Linked DNA regions of Arabidopsis thaliana. The protein of the gene in region 3 interacts with the protein of the main gene of each other region in a pairwise test. Each region holds a gene or a part of one and is shown on either strand. Other genes may lie near its edges. The genes, in order: APC3, AT4G19865, ATCHX1 and AT5G47420.

Region 1 (4,901 bases), on a different chromosome or scaffold from region 3:
AAAATCATTTCGTTTTGAAACTGAAAGACTCATTTTTCTTATCATCATATCAATTGAAATGATGGTTACGATGATAATGAATATCGTTATTATGAAATACTTTCCGACCAACGCGTTATCTCCTCTTTGTTGTCTTAAAAGTTTTGCTTATAGATTTTTCGTCTTTTATGCTTGTTTCTTCATTTTTTACATGCGTGTTAGATCATTAGCGTAAATGGTTAGTGCTTAAAACTTATTGGTATGCGAATCTCGGCCGCCGACAAATATTTGTACTTCAACTTCAAGACATTCGTGGAACTTCAAAAACAATCTTTCGTTTTTTCAAACAAACAAAATAATTTGAATTCGTTTCGCGAATGAGGCGCGTGTATGACACCTCTGTCTCTGTGACTATAGCGAAGCTAGGTTTACTTATGATGAAAAAAGTTCAGTTCAAAACCAGTTTTTTGTTAGTCGTGAAAGTCTATTAACCTGTTTTTCTTTATAAAATTTCCCAATATAGTATTAATATATGAAATTAACAAATCGTTGAATTGAAAACTTTTAACTATCAGTCAAAGATGAATATTAGCCTGAATATGTTAAGTGATCAATTAACTAATTAATTAGCTAGGCATATTAACTGTGGGATCTCCTCTGGGCTTTGGGCGGTTTGGATAAAGTAACATTTGTCGGGAAAACAGTGAACAAGTGCTACACAATTTTTCAAATGTAAAGACAAAAAGTTCCATTATGTTGCAAACACGAGACACAAATATTTATAATAGAAGAGTTGTTTGAACAAATTAAGACAGCCAGATTATCATATGTTTTAAAAAGAATTGTTATCGAAAAAACAAAACAAATTTTGTAGAAAGTTCATGTTCTTTCAACATGATACACAATTCCAAATACTCAAAAGTCTTTGATATTTCATATATAGATACGATTACGAATATGGACCGTAGCTAAGAAAACAGTTCAAATAACTAAACACAAATACAGCTATTATATAAAAATACATCCCGACAGAAAGAATATAGTTAAAAGAAAATCAAGAGATTAAAACGTTGACAAAGGAAGGGAAATTGGGGATGGCCGCACGCACGCCGGCCTCACCGCCCTGTCAACCTTTGCGGCCTTCTAAGCTATCGCAAATCTCAACCACTGCCTTTACCTTCTATTTCAAACTTATCGGCCCAAAGACGTATGAATACGTGCATGTATACCATATATACACAATATTAAATCATTTAAAATACGTATGTATGTTCACGTTCAGGGATGTTCAAATTGCACCGACTCACTCAGTTTGTAAATGTAACGCAGCCCAATTCTGTTTCACTAATAGTCTGGCCCATTTCACAATCATCCAAAGCGAGTTTTTAAAGGTGATTTCATGATTTGCTAGGTAGGTCAGATTCTTTTGAGATTTCACATTCCAGACAGTATAGAGCGAAGAGAAACTGCAAAATTGTACAAAGAATGGCAAAAAAAAAAAAAAAAGCGTTTTTGTGAAAAAAATCCGACCTGCCGGAATCGAACCAGCGACCTAAAGATTTGCTGTCACAGACTACAGTCTTCCGCTCTACCAACTGAGCTAAGGTCGGTTATTGATTACTAATACAAAGATTTGTTAATTAACCTAAGTAATCTTGGTAGTCATGTCCTCTAATTTCCAAACCGGAGACAAAACCGGTGAGAAGATCGCTACAAAAATTACCAATCTCTAACAAAATTATTTAAATTAAAAATCTCCATAAACTTATTTTTCCCTCTCTGTAATTTTGGATAGGTTTTTAATACGGTCAAACGCATTTTTTTTACTTCTACTAATCAAGCACATTTGACCATTTCCGGTTTTGGTTCAAACCGGAAAACGCACGATTTCAATTTGACTGATTCGCACGTGTCGTGTGGGAATAGCACGTGGAGAATAGCAAAAGGTCAGGGGGAGGGAAGATAGAGAGATATGTTACCGTCACTTGCGGTTGACAGATGACGGAGCCGGATTTTCCTTCACCGGCCATCCATCGTTTATAGCCACTGACCCACAACAACACCATTAACCCTTTTTGCTTCTGACTCCAATAGTGAAGTAAATTTCCAAACTTTTGTGTTTCTTCTTCGACGTGAAGACTCTTTCGGTGGTGTGTTGTGTTGTGACTTGTGAGGTCTTCTTTCTCAAAACCCAGGACTCACTCTCTGTATAATAAATACGCAAGAAGATGAATGATCCTTAGAATCATTCAATTCTCTTGTAAAGCATTCTAATTTGGGGCAATCTCGATATTGATCGCGAATCAGCAATGGAGTCATCGAAGCCCAAAAACCGTAACCCGATGAAGAAACCTGTATCCATCACGATGGAGCATGTTCTATTGGCGTTACGTGAGACAATGGATGAGAGAGAGATCAGGATTCGTAGTTTGTTTGATTTCTTTGATAATTCGAATTTAGGGTTCTTAGATTATGCCCAGATCGAAAAGGGTCTTGCTTCGCTTCAGATTCCTCCTGAGTACAAGTACGCTAGAGATTTGTTTAGAGTCTGCGACGCTAATCGAGATGGGCGTGTTGATTACCAGGAGTTTCGTCGATACATTGATGCTAAGGAGCTTGAGCTATACAGGATTTTCCAAGCCATTGATGTTGAGCATAATGGCTGCATTTTGCCTGAGGAGCTTTGGGAGGCTCTTGTTAAGGCCGGTATGTTACTGTTCCATTTATACTGTTACTTTTTGCTATTGATCATCATGTAAAGTTTGTACCTTTATGAGAGATTTGTGGATTTTGATTGTTTATGGTGAAGTTGCTATATTGGCATTGTGTTGAGATGTTAGAACGTGTTTGATTGTTTATGTTATTTCATTGGATTGTTGAGTATCACCAACCTATATAAGCCCTACAGTTTTGTTCTTGTAGGCATTGAGATCGATGATGAGGAACTCGCTCGTTTTGTGGAGCATGTTGATAAGGACAACAATGGAACTATAACGTTTGAAGAGTGGAGAGATTTTCTTTTGTTATATCCTCATGAAGCCACCCTTGAAAACATATATCATCATTGGGAAAGGGTGTGCTTGATAGATATTGGGGAGCAAGCTGTTATACCGGATGGTATAAGTAAACATGTGAAAAGAAGCAGATTACTTCTCGCTGGAGGACTAGCCGGAGCTGTTTCTAGAACTGCAACTGCGCCTCTTGATCGTCTGAAGGTTGTTTTGCAAGTTCAAAGGGCACATGCAGGGGTCCTCCCGACAATTAAGAAGATATGGAGAGAAGATAAGTTGATGGGTTTCTTTAGAGGTAATGGGTTAAATGTCATGAAGGTTGCTCCTGAAAGTGCCATTAAGTTTTGTGCTTACGAAATGCTAAAACCCATGATTGGAGGGGAGGATGGTGATATTGGTACAAGTGGGAGACTTATGGCAGGTGGAATGGCTGGTGCATTGGCTCAAACCGCTATTTACCCTATGGATCTCGTGAAGACTCGGTTACAGACTTGTGTCAGTGAAGGTGGAAAGGCACCTAAGTTGTGGAAGCTTACAAAAGATATATGGGTTCGGGAGGGACCTCGGGCTTTCTACAAGGGTCTGTTTCCTTCTCTTCTTGGGATTGTTCCTTATGCAGGAATTGACCTCGCTGCATATGAAACGCTAAAAGACTTGTCCAGAACATATATTCTTCAGGACACTGGTTAGAGCATCAAAACCTTAAATCCTTATTCTTATTTGCATATCATTGTTCTGTGATATGATACTAAAATAGCTTAAAATTCTGCAGAGCCGGGTCCTCTGATACAGCTGAGCTGTGGAATGACATCAGGAGCCCTTGGAGCATCATGTGTTTACCCGTTACAGGTAGTAAGAACAAGGTAAAAACCCGAAATTCCGAAAACTTGTAACCGATTTTTTTTAATGTCTTGTCTGCGATTGTAAAAAACAAGTTTGATCCTTGTCATGTCAGAATGCAAGCGGATAGTTCGAAGACGACAATGAAGCAAGAGTTTATGAATACGATGAAAGGAGAAGGTCTTAGAGGTTTCTACAGAGGACTATTACCCAATCTTCTCAAAGTAGTTCCAGCGGCAAGCATCACGTACATTGTTTATGAAGCTATGAAGAAAAATATGGCTCTTGATTAGCCAATACGGTCTTGAAATTTTCTCCGAGTTAGTTTATTCTTTTTTGTTCCCAAGGGGTCACTCTCTCTAGGTTATGTGAGAAATTCAAAAACAAGACAGAGATTGTAACATGTCTTCGTTGATGTGTTCAAGATCAAGACTCAAGTCTGTAAACTCACATCTCCAAAAAAGATTTTGAATGGTTAAGTCATGAACTCACATCTCCAAAAATGATTTTGAATGGTTACATCATTAAAGATATCTATCAACTAATTTTTTTAAAAAGGTCTTACTGCATTTTATAAATAATAAATGAATTTTTATATAAATCGTGATCAGTTGTAAGTCACTTTTCTAATATTTTAAAGTGTATAGCCTATTTAAGTATATGATCTGATTTAATTAAATGGAAAACAAAATATTAAAAGTATATTCTTGAAATTGGGACATATATTTTTATGGTGATAAAATTTAATTATAGATTTGTAATTTGATGGAAATTTTTTTGATAAATAGTTATCAGCAATATAATAAAGTTAACACTCTTATAACAACTTAACAAAAAAAACACTCTTATAACAAAAAAGAAGAAGTTATCAGCAATATATTTATACTGTTTTCGTTGACTTAAAAATATAACTTATAACACACCTATGATTTATATATCTCAATTATTGTTTTGTTGCGATCATTGATATTCTTTTTTAGACTATGTTTCAGAATGATGACAACAATGTTATACCTAGACATATATAGTTTTAAATGTTGTTTTCAGCTTTAACCTATATTTATTTTAAAA
Region 2 (3,768 bases), on a different chromosome or scaffold from region 3:
CGAAATCGTCGAGAACTGCTTAGCTCGGATCTCGAGGTCGTACTATCCAACACTCTCAATCGTTTCGAAAAGCTTCCGTTCAATTATCTCATCCACCGAGCTCTATGTAGCCAGATCTCACCTCCGAAACACCGAAGAGTGTGTCTATGTCTGTCTATCTGATAAAAGTTTTGAATTTCCCAAATGGTTTACACTCTGGGTTAACCCTAATCAAGCCAACTCCATGGTTGAGAAGAAGAGGAAGAAGAAGAAGACAATTGGAAAGTTGTTGGTTCCAATTCCCTCTTCTAATCTTTCTCCTGTATCAAAATCCGCCATAGCTGTTGGTTCTGAAATATATGTGATCGGCGGAAAAGTCGATGGTGCACTGTCTTCGGCCGTGCGAATCCTCGATTGTCGCAGTAACACTTGGCGCGATGCTCCTAGCATGACCGTAGCCCGAAAGAGGCCTTTCATATGTCTCTACGATGGGAAAATTTACGTAATTGGAGGGTACAACAAATTATCAGAAAGCGAACCATGGGCTGAGGTATTCGATATAAAGACTCAGACTTGGGAATGCCTTTCTGATCCGGGTACTGAGATACGTAACTGTACCATTTACAGAATAGCAGAGATCGAAGGAAAGATTCACTTTGGGTATACACAAAAAACGTATGCTTATGACCCAAAGCAAGGTGAATGGGAATGCTGTGAAGGCGAGGTTGCATTTCCGAGGTCCCAATGTGTGATGGAGAGTGTATTGTACACCTTTGCTAATAACTACACTTGGGAGGACGACTACGGGTGCAAGTGGTGGTCAACGGATGGATATGGGGAAAAGGTAAAAGGGTTGGAGTCACTATTAGAGATACACAAGAGGAATGGTGGCTCAAGTGATAATACGACTAAACTAGTTGCCTGTGGTGGGAAACTCTTACTTTTATGGGAAGGGTACATGAAGCATAATCCCAATAATAGGAAGAAGATTTGGTGCGCGGTTATCGCGTTAGAAAAGCGTGATGGAGGTAAGGTTTGGGGAATTGTTGAGTGGGTTGATGTTGTGCATATCGTCCCCACATCATGCAAGCTCTTGCATTGTCTCGTTGTCTCGGTTTGATTAACTTGTATGATACAAGTTGTATCCAGGTATGTCAGTCCTTAACTCCATCTTTGGATCCCTTGTCTTAGTTAATTTGAGTTCATTTAGTTTTATAAAAAGTTCATGCTTCTTTTTTTTTTCCCTGTACATATATGATGTTAGTATGTATAACATTATATATATATGAATGGATTGTTGACCAGTTGGAAAGAGGAGAAGGAAGCAAAGGCAAAAAGGAGTGCAACATGGATTACCTTTCGCCTCATGATCAACACAGTGTCTTCTCATGTAGATGATCTAACCATCTTTCAAACTTTGTGTAGAGTTTCGTGACTTCTGACTTCAGTTTGTTAGAAATATCCTCCTCATGAGTTGTGTCTTTAACATCTTTCAAACTTTGTTTTAACATTGTAACTTCATCATGAATTCTTTGTTTTGAGAAAAGAAACAAATTCTGTTTAATATGTTACAGTTTGCAATCTCCACGGTTAAAAACAATGTTGGTTAGAAGTATCTACATATTAAGGGACTTCTGTGATCGAAAACAAAAGTAGGGAACACATTGGTAAAACAAAAAACACTAGGGTTATTTTGTTATATACCAAAGAGGTCCTCTTTTTTTTTTTTTTGGTCCTCTTCATATTTTCTCATTTGACCCATTTTAGTCAAGATCCCGTCACTGCCGCTGATTGTAATCACAGTGGCTATGAACTTTCAAGTGGAACCACCGGAGAAGAAGAAGACTAAGAACTCGTCTCCACCACATTCACCTCCGTCGTCGTCATCTCCGTCGCTTTCTCTACTTCCAGAAGAAATCGTCGTGCACTGCTTAGCTCGGATCTCAAGATTGTACTACCCAACGCTCTCACTCGTTTCGAAAAGCTTCCGCTCAATTCTCTCTTCCACGGAGCTCTACGCAACCAGATCTCACCTCGGAAGCACTGAACAGTGTGTCTATCTCTGTCTATGGGATCCCAGTTATCAATTTCCCCAATGGCTTAGACTCTTAGTTAACCCTAACCGAACCCTAGCCAACTCCATCATTAAGAAGAGAAGGAAGAAGAAGAAGACAACTGGACAAATGTTAGTTCCGCTTACCTCGTCTAAGTTTACATCAGTATCAAAAGCCACCGTTGTAGTTGGTTCTGAGATTTATGTACTTGGCGGTCCAGTCGACTCCGCCGTGCGGGTGCTTGATTGTTGCAGTCACACTTGGCGCGATGCACCGAGCATGAATGTATCCCGAATGAATGCCTGGGCATGTTTCCACGATGGGAAAATTTACGTAATGGGAGGTTGCCAAGGATTAAAGGACGAACCATGGGCTGAGGTGTTCAATACAAAGACTCAGACTTGGGAAGGCCTCCCTGAGCCGGGTAGTGAGGTACGTAAGTGTTCCATTGACAGAAGCGGAGTGATTGAAGGAAAGATTGAGTTTGGAAATGTAAACGAGATGTGTGCTTACGACACGAAGCTATGTAAATGGGAGTATTGTGTAAACAAAAGTGCAGCTTTGAGGTCAGAATGTATGATTGAGAATGTTTCATATGGCTTCTGGAACATGCGCTTGTTGTGGTATGACAATGACATACAAAAGGATTATTGGAAAAGATTGGAAGGGTTAGAGTCACTAGATGATAAGTACATGAGGAATGGTGGCTCAAGTGGTAATACGACTAAACTAGTTGCATGTGGTGGGAAACTCTTACTTTTATGGGAAGGATATATGAAGCATAACCCCAATAATAGGAAGAAGATTTGGTGTGCGGTGATCGCGATAGAGAAGTGTGATGGAGGTGGAGTTTGGGGAATTGTTGAGAGTGTTGATGTTTTGTATACTGTCCCCATATCATGTCAGCTCTTGCATTGTCTCGTTGTCTCGGTTTGATTGACTTGTATTCAGGTATGATCAGTTCAAAATCAGTTTGTAGGATCTAACTGTAGTATAACATAGTATGAACGATGGATTGTTGACCAGTTGGATAGAGGAGAAGGAATCAGAGGCAAGAGGAGAGCAACAAAGTGTATGAGATTAATTAGTTAAGGTTAAGAGGCACATTTTGTCAAACTAGCTACTATGGCATATTAGTGTTTGTCTAATCCCTTGTTATTAATGAATCTGATTTGTTGTTTGAGTTATCATGCTATGAATTGAGTCTTTCTTTACTAACAAGTAGGGATGGCTTGCAAAACTAAAAATCCGTAGGTATGATCTTTTGGATTAACCCTTTCTGGGTCATCCTTCACGAACAAAAACATTGATTTCTCTTCGCCTCATGGTCGACACAATTCTCTCCTCTAAATGAGAATCGCACCAATGATAAAATCTTTCACACTTGAGTTGAGTTATGTCCTTCAGAAAGTTATAACCATCGTCAATTCGTCATCAATAAAAGAGATGCTGAGTTCTGTTTGGAGTATGGGCTTCTGTAATGAGAAAAACAAAAGGTAGAGAACAAATTGGTAAAAGAAATTACAACTTGGTTTTAATCTAAAATAATGTGCCCATGTCTATAAATAATTCCAAGTATTGAAGTATCTCGAAACTTTAGAGTTAAATAATATTTTATATTATTGCTTTTTATGTCTCAATAATTCAATTGTCACTCTTGCGTTATCCATTTGAAGATGGATCCATCACTATGACAATTATTTTTCTGCCACCTTGACTTGTACGGCTTATATTC
Region 3 (5,235 bases):
CACATGGGTTGTGAGTCGGTGAAGACGGTGATGAATGTTTGTTGAGCGTCGAAGAACCAAGCGAATGAGACTAAAGCGGCTTGGAGAAACTGTGCCCACCCGAAGTCTCCAATGCATCGCTCTATCGTCTCCTCAAGGGATCTTGGTGGCGGAAGATTTGACTCGGACGAGTTGAAATCTGAGAGAAGCGGCCGAGTCGAGTCGGCCATATATAGGAAGAGATAGGGTTTTGTTTACTTTTATGTTTGACTTGATTTGCATGTCCAATCAATTTATGTTACTCTATATATAGAGAATAAACTACAACTTTAGAGTGGTGGGAATTTTTTGTAAATATTGTGATCGAAAATTGGATGCAATACTGCTCGTGAGACCGTGATGACTAGGATCCAGCTAGCAGGACATGTCTCTAGTCTATAATTTATTTTTGGCGTCTAACTCATTACATATATAAACACACATTTATTAGATATGTTCAGTAAGTTAAATGATTAATGGGTTTGAGATCTCTCGATGGCTAAGTGAATGGCTGAGGATGAGCCATCTCTTGGTTAATTTCTCAGACCTTCTTCCCCACCGCCGTTAATTTGCTGCATGTGATCCCCCACTCAACCACTTTGGGGTTAACTATTTATTTTAGGGTCTACTTCTTTATAATTATCATTTTTTCTTCTATGAATTATTATCATTTCTTGATATACATCTTCATAAAAAAAGCCAGTTTCATTTATTTTACATCTTCGTCAATAAATTCATATTCTTAGATTGAATCTTATTGTGAGGAAAAAAATATATTTATATATATCTTATTGTAAGATAAGTACAAAATTACAATCAATAGATGCTGTAAAACGCTATAATAAATCTGTTTCAATAATGATCAAGTTGCACTGGTTGTTGCAGTTGGACAAGATAAGCGTAATTGCTTTCCAGGGCATGGGAGATGTCTTTAATTCGAATGTCTTTGGTCATTTGGAAGCTTGTACGTAGCCTTATGCATGCAAGAGAACTTAAATAAAATATACAAATTTGTGGAGGCATAGTTTTGTTTGATACAAAACACTGGAATGTCACTGAAAGTCTAATAAAACATTTAGATGGATGCTCTCTTTTTCATGCAGGTTATATCAGTATATTTGATATTTTTATGCGGCATAATATAAATTCATTTCATCATAAGAATATGAATATAACATTTTCAAAAGGTATAATAGAAAATTTTGAAGTAACAATTAGATACAAGTTGTAATGATAATTTGACGTATACCTGTTAATTTAATTCATACATTTAGTACAATACAATTTTACATACATAAAAGCTATACTTTTTCCTTGACAAAAAATTATTGCTTTTTTTTTTTTTTCCGTTGGATGCAATGTTAATTAATACTTTTGAAAATATTAAGTCTACATAGTTTTCTTGCTGAAATCGACACTTTTCTATTATCTTACAAAAACAAAAACTTACTCCTTTAAACCTACTCCAATAATTCATGCATTTTCCGATTATAGTAAGTATATCCGCTTTTAATGGGGAAAATTAAATGTGTCGACAAGAAAAATAAATGGCGTAAAACAGAGGCATGGAGTAATCGAAGGATAATCAGGTAAATGTAAACCCCTTAAACTCCAACCAAGATAAATTAATACTTAAAAAACCTGAAAAATATATATTCTTCTTTTTAGGAGAAATTGAAGTTTCTTTCACATTTTATTTTTCCCGCATTGAACTTTGAAGAATGCTCAAAATCGAATCAAGAAAATGGATCCAAAGATGTTGTTTTGTTTGCCAGAAGGAGATGCATTGTTTAATCCACTCAATACAATGTTTATTCAAATGGCTTGCATTCTCGTCTTCTCTCAATTCTTCTACCTATTCCTAAAACCCTGTGGCCAAGCCGGTCCCGTTGCCCAGATTCTCGTAAGTTTTGTTAAAAAATACTTTCTAAACACTTTTTTTTTTGTTTTAAAGTTTTCGCAATTTGACTCCTAAACTCTATGATAGTGAAACCCAAACCCAAGTAAAATTCATGCACAAAATCGTTATTATAGTACTCATAAATTGACGTTTTATTATAGTATCCATGATTTCTATTTTTTTTACAAAATTTACTCCCTGAACTTTACGAGTGTGCACTTAAACCCTAAGAGTAGCCTGTTGTGCAAGAATGTTAATAAGGTTTCGTTTCAGGAAAATTGACATATTATAACATTCAGAAAAAACTGACGTTTTAATCATTTTTGCTCAGGCTGGGATTGTGTTGAGTTTGCTCACAATAATCCGCAAAGTCCACGAATTTTTCCTCCAGAAAGATTCAGCAAGCTATTACATCTTTTTCTCATTCCTTTTACGAACAGCCTTTGTGTTCTTGATCGGTCTCGAGATCGATCTTGACTTCATGAAACGAAACTTGAAGAACTCCATTGTCATAACTTTGGGCTCCTTAGTCATTTCTGGCATCATCTGGCTCCCTTTCCTCTGGTTTCTCATCCGTTTCATGCAGATCAAAGGCGATTTCTTAACATTTTACTTAGCCTTCCTCATTACCTTGTCCAACACGGCAGCTCCTGTCGTCATCCGTTCGATCATCGATTGGAAACTGCACACATCTGAGATCGGACGGCTAGCAATCTCATGCGGATTGTTCATAGAGATAACCAACATATTTATCTACACTATCGTCCTTTCTTTCATCTCCGGGACTATGACTGCTGATATTTTTATCTACTCATTTGCCACAGGAGTTATAATCTTGACTAATAGATTCTTAGCTTCATGGCTCCCAAAAAGAAACCCTAAAGAGAAATATCTCTCCAAAGCTGAAACGCTTGCTTTCATCATCCTTATTCTAATCATCGCGTTAACCATCGAATCCAGCAACTTAAACTCAACGCTTTTTGTGTTTATCATCGGATTAATGTTTCCAAGAGAAGGAAAAACTTACAGAACGTTGATCCAACGGTTGAGTTACCCGATTCACGAGTTTGTCCTTCCGGTTTACTTTGGTTACATCGGATTTAGATTCAGCGTCAATTCGTTAACCAAACGCCACTACCTCGTCCTTGGTATGACTGTGGCTTTAAGCCTACTGGGGAAGCTTCTAGGAGTTTTATTCGCTTGTTCATTCTTGAAGATCCCAAAGCAGTATTGGCTTTTCTTGTCAACCATGCTTTCCGTCAAAGGTCATATAGGTCTTGTTCTTCTCGACTCTAACTTGATGTACAAGGTATTACAACAAATTACGACTTCTCGTTAATTTAGGTTTCAAGTCGGTTGATAATCTTCATCTCCGTGTTATTGATTTTCTCTTTGTAGAAATGGTTTACTCCGGTAGTTCATGATATGTTCGTTGCGGCTCTAGTGATCATGACTTTGTTAAGCGGAGTTATAACATCTTTGTTGCTTAGAAGTCAAGAAAAGAGTTTCGCACATATAAAAACATCACTTGAGTTATTTGACACTACCGAGGAGCTACGAGTGTTGACGTGCGTCTATGGCGTTCGTCATGCTCGTGGATCGATCTCTTTAGTCTCTGCTCTAAGTGGCTTTTCTCCTGGAACTTCTTCTTCGCCGTTCACGCCTTACCTTATGCACCTCATACCGCTCCCGAAGAAGCGGAAAACTGAATTGTTGTACCACGAATTAGACGAAGATGCAGGAAATTCCAACGGCGGAGACGATGAGTTCGGGACTAATGAAGGACTAGAGATCAATGACTCGATCGATTCGTTTACTAGAGACAGAAAAATAATGGTCCGGCAGGTGAAACTTGTGGCGCCGATGGAGAATATGCACGAAGAGATCTGTAACGCCACTGAAGATCTTCGTGTATCGATCGTGTTTCTACCTTTCCATAAACACCAGAGGATCGACGGGAAAACCACGAATGACGGGGAAGTTTTTCGACATATGAACCGGAAGGTTCTAAAGCAAGCTCAATGTTCGATTGGTATCTTTGTGGATAGAAACATAACAGGGTTTCACCAGCTTCACGGGTCTGATTCGGTACAACACGTTGCTGCATTGTTCTTCGGTGGTCCTGATGATCGTGAGGCTCTGTCCTTGTGCAAGTGGCTTACCAATAACTCTCAGATTCACCTCACTGTCATACAGTTTGTGGCGGATGACTCAAAGACAGAGAAAATTGTCGGAGACGCGGTGACCAAGGAAAACAACGAAGTATTCTTGGAGATTGTTAGTGAAGATCAAACCGAAAACGAAACAGATCGAATCTTCTTAGAAGAATTCTATCACAGGTACCTTACAAATACTCTGCTCCTGCAAATACTCTGTTTTTGGCATGACTAGTACTCTGTTTCTATGTTCCTACACACATACTCTGTTTCCGTTACTCTGTTTTTTCATTTATAGAGATGGTTTTTATTTGTCTTGACAGATTTGTGACGACGGGGCAAGTTGGATTCATAGAGAAGCGAGTGAGCAACGGAATGCAGACGCTGACAATTCTAAGAGAGATCGGGGAGATGTATTCACTGTTTGTGGTAGGAAAAAACAGAGGAGATTGTCCAATGACTTCAGGAATGAATGATTGGGAAGAGTGTCCGGAATTAGGAACGGTCGGAGATTTCTTGGCTTCATCAAATATGGATGTAAATGCTTCTGTATTAGTAGTTCAAAGACATAGAAACTCATTTGATAGCTTTGTAGATGAATAGCAAATACTCTTTAGTTTTTACTTGACACAACTTAAAATAGTTTACTCTTAAAATCAAGACAAACATCACATAATAGAAAACATATGAAAATGGAGAATGTTTGAGCTAAACAAACTCTTAAACTCTCAGCAAACATGGCTGGTATTTACGGCTTGATCTCTCTTTTCTTGTTCTTCCATCGAATCGCAGAGACTCAAACCTTTTGTCTCAGGCAGAATCAAAACGAACATTCCTAAACCAGACATTGCAATTCCAAAAATCGCAAACGATACTGAGGGTATGTATCTTCCAATCGAAGCAATTAGCGGACAACAAGCTCCTCCAACGACAAGAGCCTGTCTAAACATCATTGTTGCCGAGCTTCTCACACAAGTTGGAAACATTTCAACCATAAAAACTGCCATAAGGTTAAATCCGATTCTAGCGCAGAAGAATGTTCCGAGTTCGAAGGCAAACGCGATCTCTGTTTTGCCGAGAATGCTGAGAACGAAACAGAGCACCCCTGATGCCCCACCGAGTAAGGTATTCACAAGAACAGAGCTTCTTCTGTTGAATCTC
Region 4 (4,752 bases), on a different chromosome or scaffold from region 3:
GATGGCTCTTAAGGTTTGATCCCTGGCTTAAGCTATTTTCTCAAATTCATGAGTTTATCTGTAGAATATGGATTGCAAGACTTCTGTTTGAAATCTTAATGTGACTGAATGGTTCTACTGTGTCTCCCTAAATAGGTGATGAGTACGTTGACATCGTCAAAAGAGCTTTTGGTTCTGATGAAGAATATTGATAAAGCCTTTCACTCTAAACAAACTGGACCAGGAAACTCAAAAGTGAACGAATTGTCTAGATTTTCTCCATCTATCCGTGAGCAGTTGAAGGTATGCCTATATTTTTCCTCAACACCAGTTGTTATCTGTTCTCCGGTCATAGAACGCTTTTCCAGTGATTTTACTCTTATGTATCCGCCATCCTTTGTCTTCATACTTATTTAGCTTTTTCATCATAACACCCTTGGAAGTTTAACAAAAGACTGTAAAATCAATCTTTTTTTCACATAAGTCACATAAGTACTCAAACTCTATACTGAAAAATCATGTTTAACTGCTTGTGGAACTTCAGGATTGGGAAGATGGGTTGTGTGAGAGCAACGCTGATGGCTCATACTTGCATGAAAACTGGAACAAAGACTTGAAACTCTTTAGTGATGGTGAAGATGGCGGACAACAACTGCTTCAGGTTAATGTCTTCCTTTTATAACCTACTGTAGTGATAAGTTAGGAATAAAAAAATGGAAGATAATCTTTGTAGGATGATATCTTCAAATGTACTTAAAATAGCTCTATTATGGAATGATCTAGTTGACAAATATATAGATAAACCTTCAGATTTACTTGTTTGTTGTTTGTAGCCTTCTATCTATATTAACAGGAGAATTTGTTACTTGACAATTAGATGAGTACGCAGTCATCGGCAATGTTGTGAGCTATTAACTTGGGAATTTGTTTTTTGAGAAATTGTTCACGGAAATATACTTTGAGAACTAGTTCTCCTACATTTGTTTTTCAGTAACCTAGTTGTATCGCATGTTTTCTTGTTTCCGATACTCTACTTTAGTTTATACGACTCTTGAATCCTTTAGCTCATAGGGGGGGAGTGGAGCTTAAAACCTGTTTTACTTTGCTGAAGGCGTTTGTTCTTTGCATTTGCAGCTATTCATACTGCGGGCAGAAGCCGAACTGCAAACTGTATCCGATAAAAACCTCACAGAGGCCCTTAAGTGTGTAGATTCACTAAAATCAGCGGTTTCCAACTTCTTTGGCGGGCATGTCGTAAAACCAATCGCTTTTTTCCTAGAGCCGGACCATCCTCAGAAAAACCGTGACGAGCTCTTCAAGCCACGTGGTGCTGGTAACCAAACAGCAGGCGGTGTGAAGTACAAAGGGGACTGGATGACCCGTCCGGTGTCAGAAGACGAGGTTGCATTGATGGCTAAACTGCTAATCAACATGTCTATTTGGCTCAATGAACGCCTCGGGCTGAACAAATCTGAGACGAGCAACGACAAGAAAGAGAATTCAGAGTCAGTATCATATGTAGATGTATCAGGGGAAGATGTGGGAAACGTTGCAGGACCTGGAGATGCTGCGAAGATGCTGTTGCGAGGGATGGTGATGGTATGTGGCACAGTGTTGCAGCTGATGAGAAGATTCGGGATTCGAGTCAATCTTCGGGTTATGGCTTCAAAAAAGTTTCTGATGCTTTTATTTCTCTATGTCCTGTTTCTTGTAGTCAAAAGGGTAGTCACAAGGATGATTTGGTAGATGGGTGTCCAAAATGTGTTAAAAGTTGAAGAAGTAAAAGGAAATAGACACTCTAACTCGCGTAGAGCGTTTGATAGGAATTGGAAAGCTTATTTACGAAACAGGGACTGAGTTTTTTGGTAATTTACATGTTCGCATTACAAATTGAAGCGTGTCTTTACTTGTTACAACCAATGAGAATGGTCCACGTAATCAGTCTCCACGTGTCATCTGCCAATAAGATCCACCCATCAGCAAAATTCATCGGTCGTTCGTCGCTGACTATCACAATTCCGAACACCAAATTTCGAATTTCTGCCACTTGCTTTGTGATCTGATCGTTCGAAATTGACCGGAGAATTCTTCTGTGTTCTTAGATCTGTCGCGAATTTGTTAAAGCTCCTCAGAAGGTTTTGGTTACAGATCTTCTCTGTGGTCTTCACCACTATGGCCGCTCCGTTTTTTTCAACTCCATTTCAGCCTTATGTCTACCAGGTGTGCTTCTTCTCTCTTTGATCATTTCGCTTTCAAAATGATGAGGTCGTGTTCTTCTTAGTTGCAATTTGACTAAATTTGAGGTTCATTGTAAGTAGGATTTAGAGAAATTCCATCTTTGATTAGTTTAACTTAGCTGGGAGAACGCATAATCGGGCCAATTAGGGATTTTAGATCATGACATTGTTCTAGTGTTGTCTAATAAGTGGCCATTTGATGCAGAGTCAACAAGATACTATTACACCGTTCCAGATTTTGGGTGGTGAATCCCAAGTTGTTCAGGTACATTTGCTTTCTTAATATAGCGTGATCTTCGTATTTGTGGGTTATATGCCATATAATTTTAACTTCTCTAACCATTGCTCGTATGTTGGCAGATAATGTTAAAGTCAGAGGAGAAAGTCATTGCTAAGCCTGGTACTTCCACTGAATAACTCGCTTCTCTACTCAGTTTTGTATAATGGTTTCAAGTTTCAACTAATTTTGTGTTATGGTGATGTAGCTTCCATGTGCTACATGTCTGGCTCCATCGAGATGGAAAATACATACACTCCTGAACAAGAAGTTGGAGTTCTGCAGTGGATTTTGGGCAAGAGTGTAAGCAGTGTTGTTCTTCGGAATACTGGGCAAAACGACGGGTTTGTTGGTATTGCTGCACCTTATTTGGCTAGGATTCTCCCGGTTAGTGATTTTAGCTTGTCCATGTTGGCATAATCATCTTCCATTTCACCCTTAATGTATACCGCCTGATTCCTTGTTGTTTTTGTGATCTTTGTTTTCCATGTAGATTGATTTGGCAATGTTTGGAGGTGAGATCTTATGCCAGGTAGAGTCTTTTTTCCTAGATTTTGAACACTTAGCTATCAGCTTCTTCTTCACTCAGATCAAGCTCTTACAGAGTCGCCTGACCTTTTCTTCACTTTCTGTAGCCAGATGCATTCCTTTGTTCTGTCCATGATGTGAAGGTTGTCAACTCCGTTGACCAGAGAGCAAGAAACATTGTTGCCGCTGGTGCAGAGGTAAGAACTAAGAAGGAAAATACGTTGATTTGGTTTCTGATGCAATTATTATTCTTAACAAAATTCTGCAACCCGTTGTCTGGCTTCTACTCACAAATTGCTGTTGCAGGGATTTCTGAGACAACGCCTATCTGGACAAGGTCTTGCTTTCATCCTCGCAGGTGGCTCTGGTGAGATTTTATCCCAATGAAATGCTGTTTCCGTTGAGGCCTCATCCCCTTCAATAAAACTGACATTTAACATCCCAAACATGTTAGTTGTACAAAAAGTTCTGGAGGTAGGAGAAGTTTTCTCCATTGACGTTTCCTGTATTGCTGCTCTCACACCCTCTATCGATGTCCGAATCAAAAACAATGCTCCTTTTAGACGAGCACTATTCGGGGTACATTTTCACATATACTTTGTTTCAATGAGAAGAAGATTCAGGTTTTTGTTTTGTTTCTCAACTGTTTTAATCTTTCAACATTCAAAAGGGTGATAACGTAGTAATGGCGACTCTAACGGGGCCTGGCATTGTCTTCATTCAAAGCTTACCGTTTCATCGGCTCTCGCAGCGTATTGCAAGGTAAAGCAACCAACAATCCAAATCTCCATTTATGTTGCAAATATGTTTATATAAAGTGTGAATGGTTTTTCTGTGACAGGTCGGTAACGTCGCCAAACATGAGAGAGAATCCAAAATTGCTGATACAGATAGCTATATTTGCGTTCCTAGCATACGCTGTGATTTTGTCATCGTTGATCTTAACCGAAGTTTGAAAGCAGAGAGATAGAAAGAATTATCCGACCAACAAACTAACGTTGTAATTGTTCAAATTATCTCGGGTTTGGACTTTGGATGGATAGAGTGAAGATGAATTAGACACATCTCAAACCATTTTCTTTTCGTTTACTAGTGAGTTTAGGCACTTGTGTTATATTGATATTGCTCCTATATATTGAAAAGTGAAAACGTAGATACCGAGTTGAACAAAAATTGGATTCTTTACTTAAATCACACATCAATTTAAATTAATTAATTTGATTTTTTGTTTTGTTAAATAATTAATGTCTAATGATATTATTGATTAATTTTCATCGGATGGTTAAGAAATTGGATTAATTCAAAAAAAAAAATCTGGATTAATTCGTTACCAATGGATCATATAGTCAAGACTCAAGAGAATGTCTCAATGATATCATGGACTAATTTTCAGAAAATGGATTATAGCAGGAGTTAATAGTTTTCCAAAAACATTGAACTGTCAAAAACAGTAAACATGCTCAAGCAAAAATTCACAATTTTGAAAACAGCGAAATGTCATAGGTGTTAACACACGAATTTCAACAATATACAATACTCCGTTTTTTCCGTTTACTTTTTAAACTATTCGAATTACTCATGGATACGGATCTTACGATACGATGAATACATTTACGTTATAAGAAGTGACTACAACCATTCTTAAACATGTTTACGATTCGCACATAAGATCTCTCAAATCAGTGAAGCTAGACCAACAAGAATAAATTTGATATGAATCGTCGTCAAAAC

What was found.
Region 1: the proteins of ATCHX1 (region 3) and APC3 interact in a protein complementation assay, tested with the Arabidopsis thaliana proteins (one large-scale study listed by BioGRID).
Region 2: the proteins of ATCHX1 (region 3) and AT4G19865 interact in a protein complementation assay, tested with the Arabidopsis thaliana proteins (one large-scale study listed by BioGRID).
Region 4: the proteins of ATCHX1 (region 3) and AT5G47420 interact in a protein complementation assay, tested with the Arabidopsis thaliana proteins (one large-scale study listed by BioGRID).

The regions. Positions count from the first base shown.
Region 1 is NC_003076.8:2,307,960-2,312,860, forward strand, and holds APC3 (Mitochondrial substrate carrier family protein), read left to right. Parts: upstream 1-1,903; 5' UTR 1,904-2,288; coding exon 2,289-2,685; intron 2,686-2,901; coding exon 2,902-3,675; intron 3,676-3,762; coding exon 3,763-3,853; intron 3,854-3,945; coding exon 3,946-4,123; 3' UTR 4,124-4,387; downstream 4,388-4,901. UniProt on the Arabidopsis thaliana protein: Calcium-dependent mitochondrial carrier protein that catalyzes the import of ATP co-transported with metal divalent cations across the mitochondrial inner membrane in exchange for phosphate (Pi).
Region 2 is NC_003075.7:10,780,385-10,784,152, reverse strand, and holds AT4G19865 (Galactose oxidase/kelch repeat superfamily protein), read left to right. Parts: upstream 1-1,704; 5' UTR 1,705-1,787; coding exon 1,788-2,969; 3' UTR 2,970-3,261; downstream 3,262-3,768. Other genes in the region: AT4G19870 (Galactose oxidase/kelch repeat superfamily protein), read left to right, coding at 1-1,099.
Region 3 is NC_003070.9:5,597,895-5,603,129, reverse strand, and holds ATCHX1 (Cation/hydrogen exchanger family protein), read left to right. Parts: upstream 1-1,762; coding exon 1,763-1,921; intron 1,922-2,249; coding exon 2,250-3,227; intron 3,228-3,316; coding exon 3,317-4,257; intron 4,258-4,397; coding exon 4,398-4,677; 3' UTR 4,678-4,719; downstream 4,720-5,235. Other genes in the region: OCT3 (organic cation/carnitine transporter 3), read right to left, coding at 1-209; OCT6 (organic cation/carnitine transporter 6), read right to left, coding at 4,803-5,235. UniProt on the Arabidopsis thaliana protein: May operate as a cation/H(+) antiporter.
Region 4 is NC_003076.8:19,230,862-19,235,613, forward strand, and holds AT5G47420 (Tryptophan RNA-binding attenuator protein-like protein), read left to right. Parts: upstream 1-1,922; 5' UTR 1,923-2,151; coding exon 2,152-2,199; intron 2,200-2,421; coding exon 2,422-2,481; intron 2,482-2,576; coding exon 2,577-2,616; intron 2,617-2,701; coding exon 2,702-2,880; intron 2,881-2,986; coding exon 2,987-3,025; intron 3,026-3,128; coding exon 3,129-3,218; intron 3,219-3,327; coding exon 3,328-3,388; intron 3,389-3,475; coding exon 3,476-3,600; intron 3,601-3,691; coding exon 3,692-3,783; intron 3,784-3,862; coding exon 3,863-3,977; 3' UTR 3,978-4,205; downstream 4,206-4,752. Other genes in the region: AT5G47400 (sphingomyelin phosphodiesterase), read left to right, coding at 1-13, 136-282, 524-640, 1,114-1,725.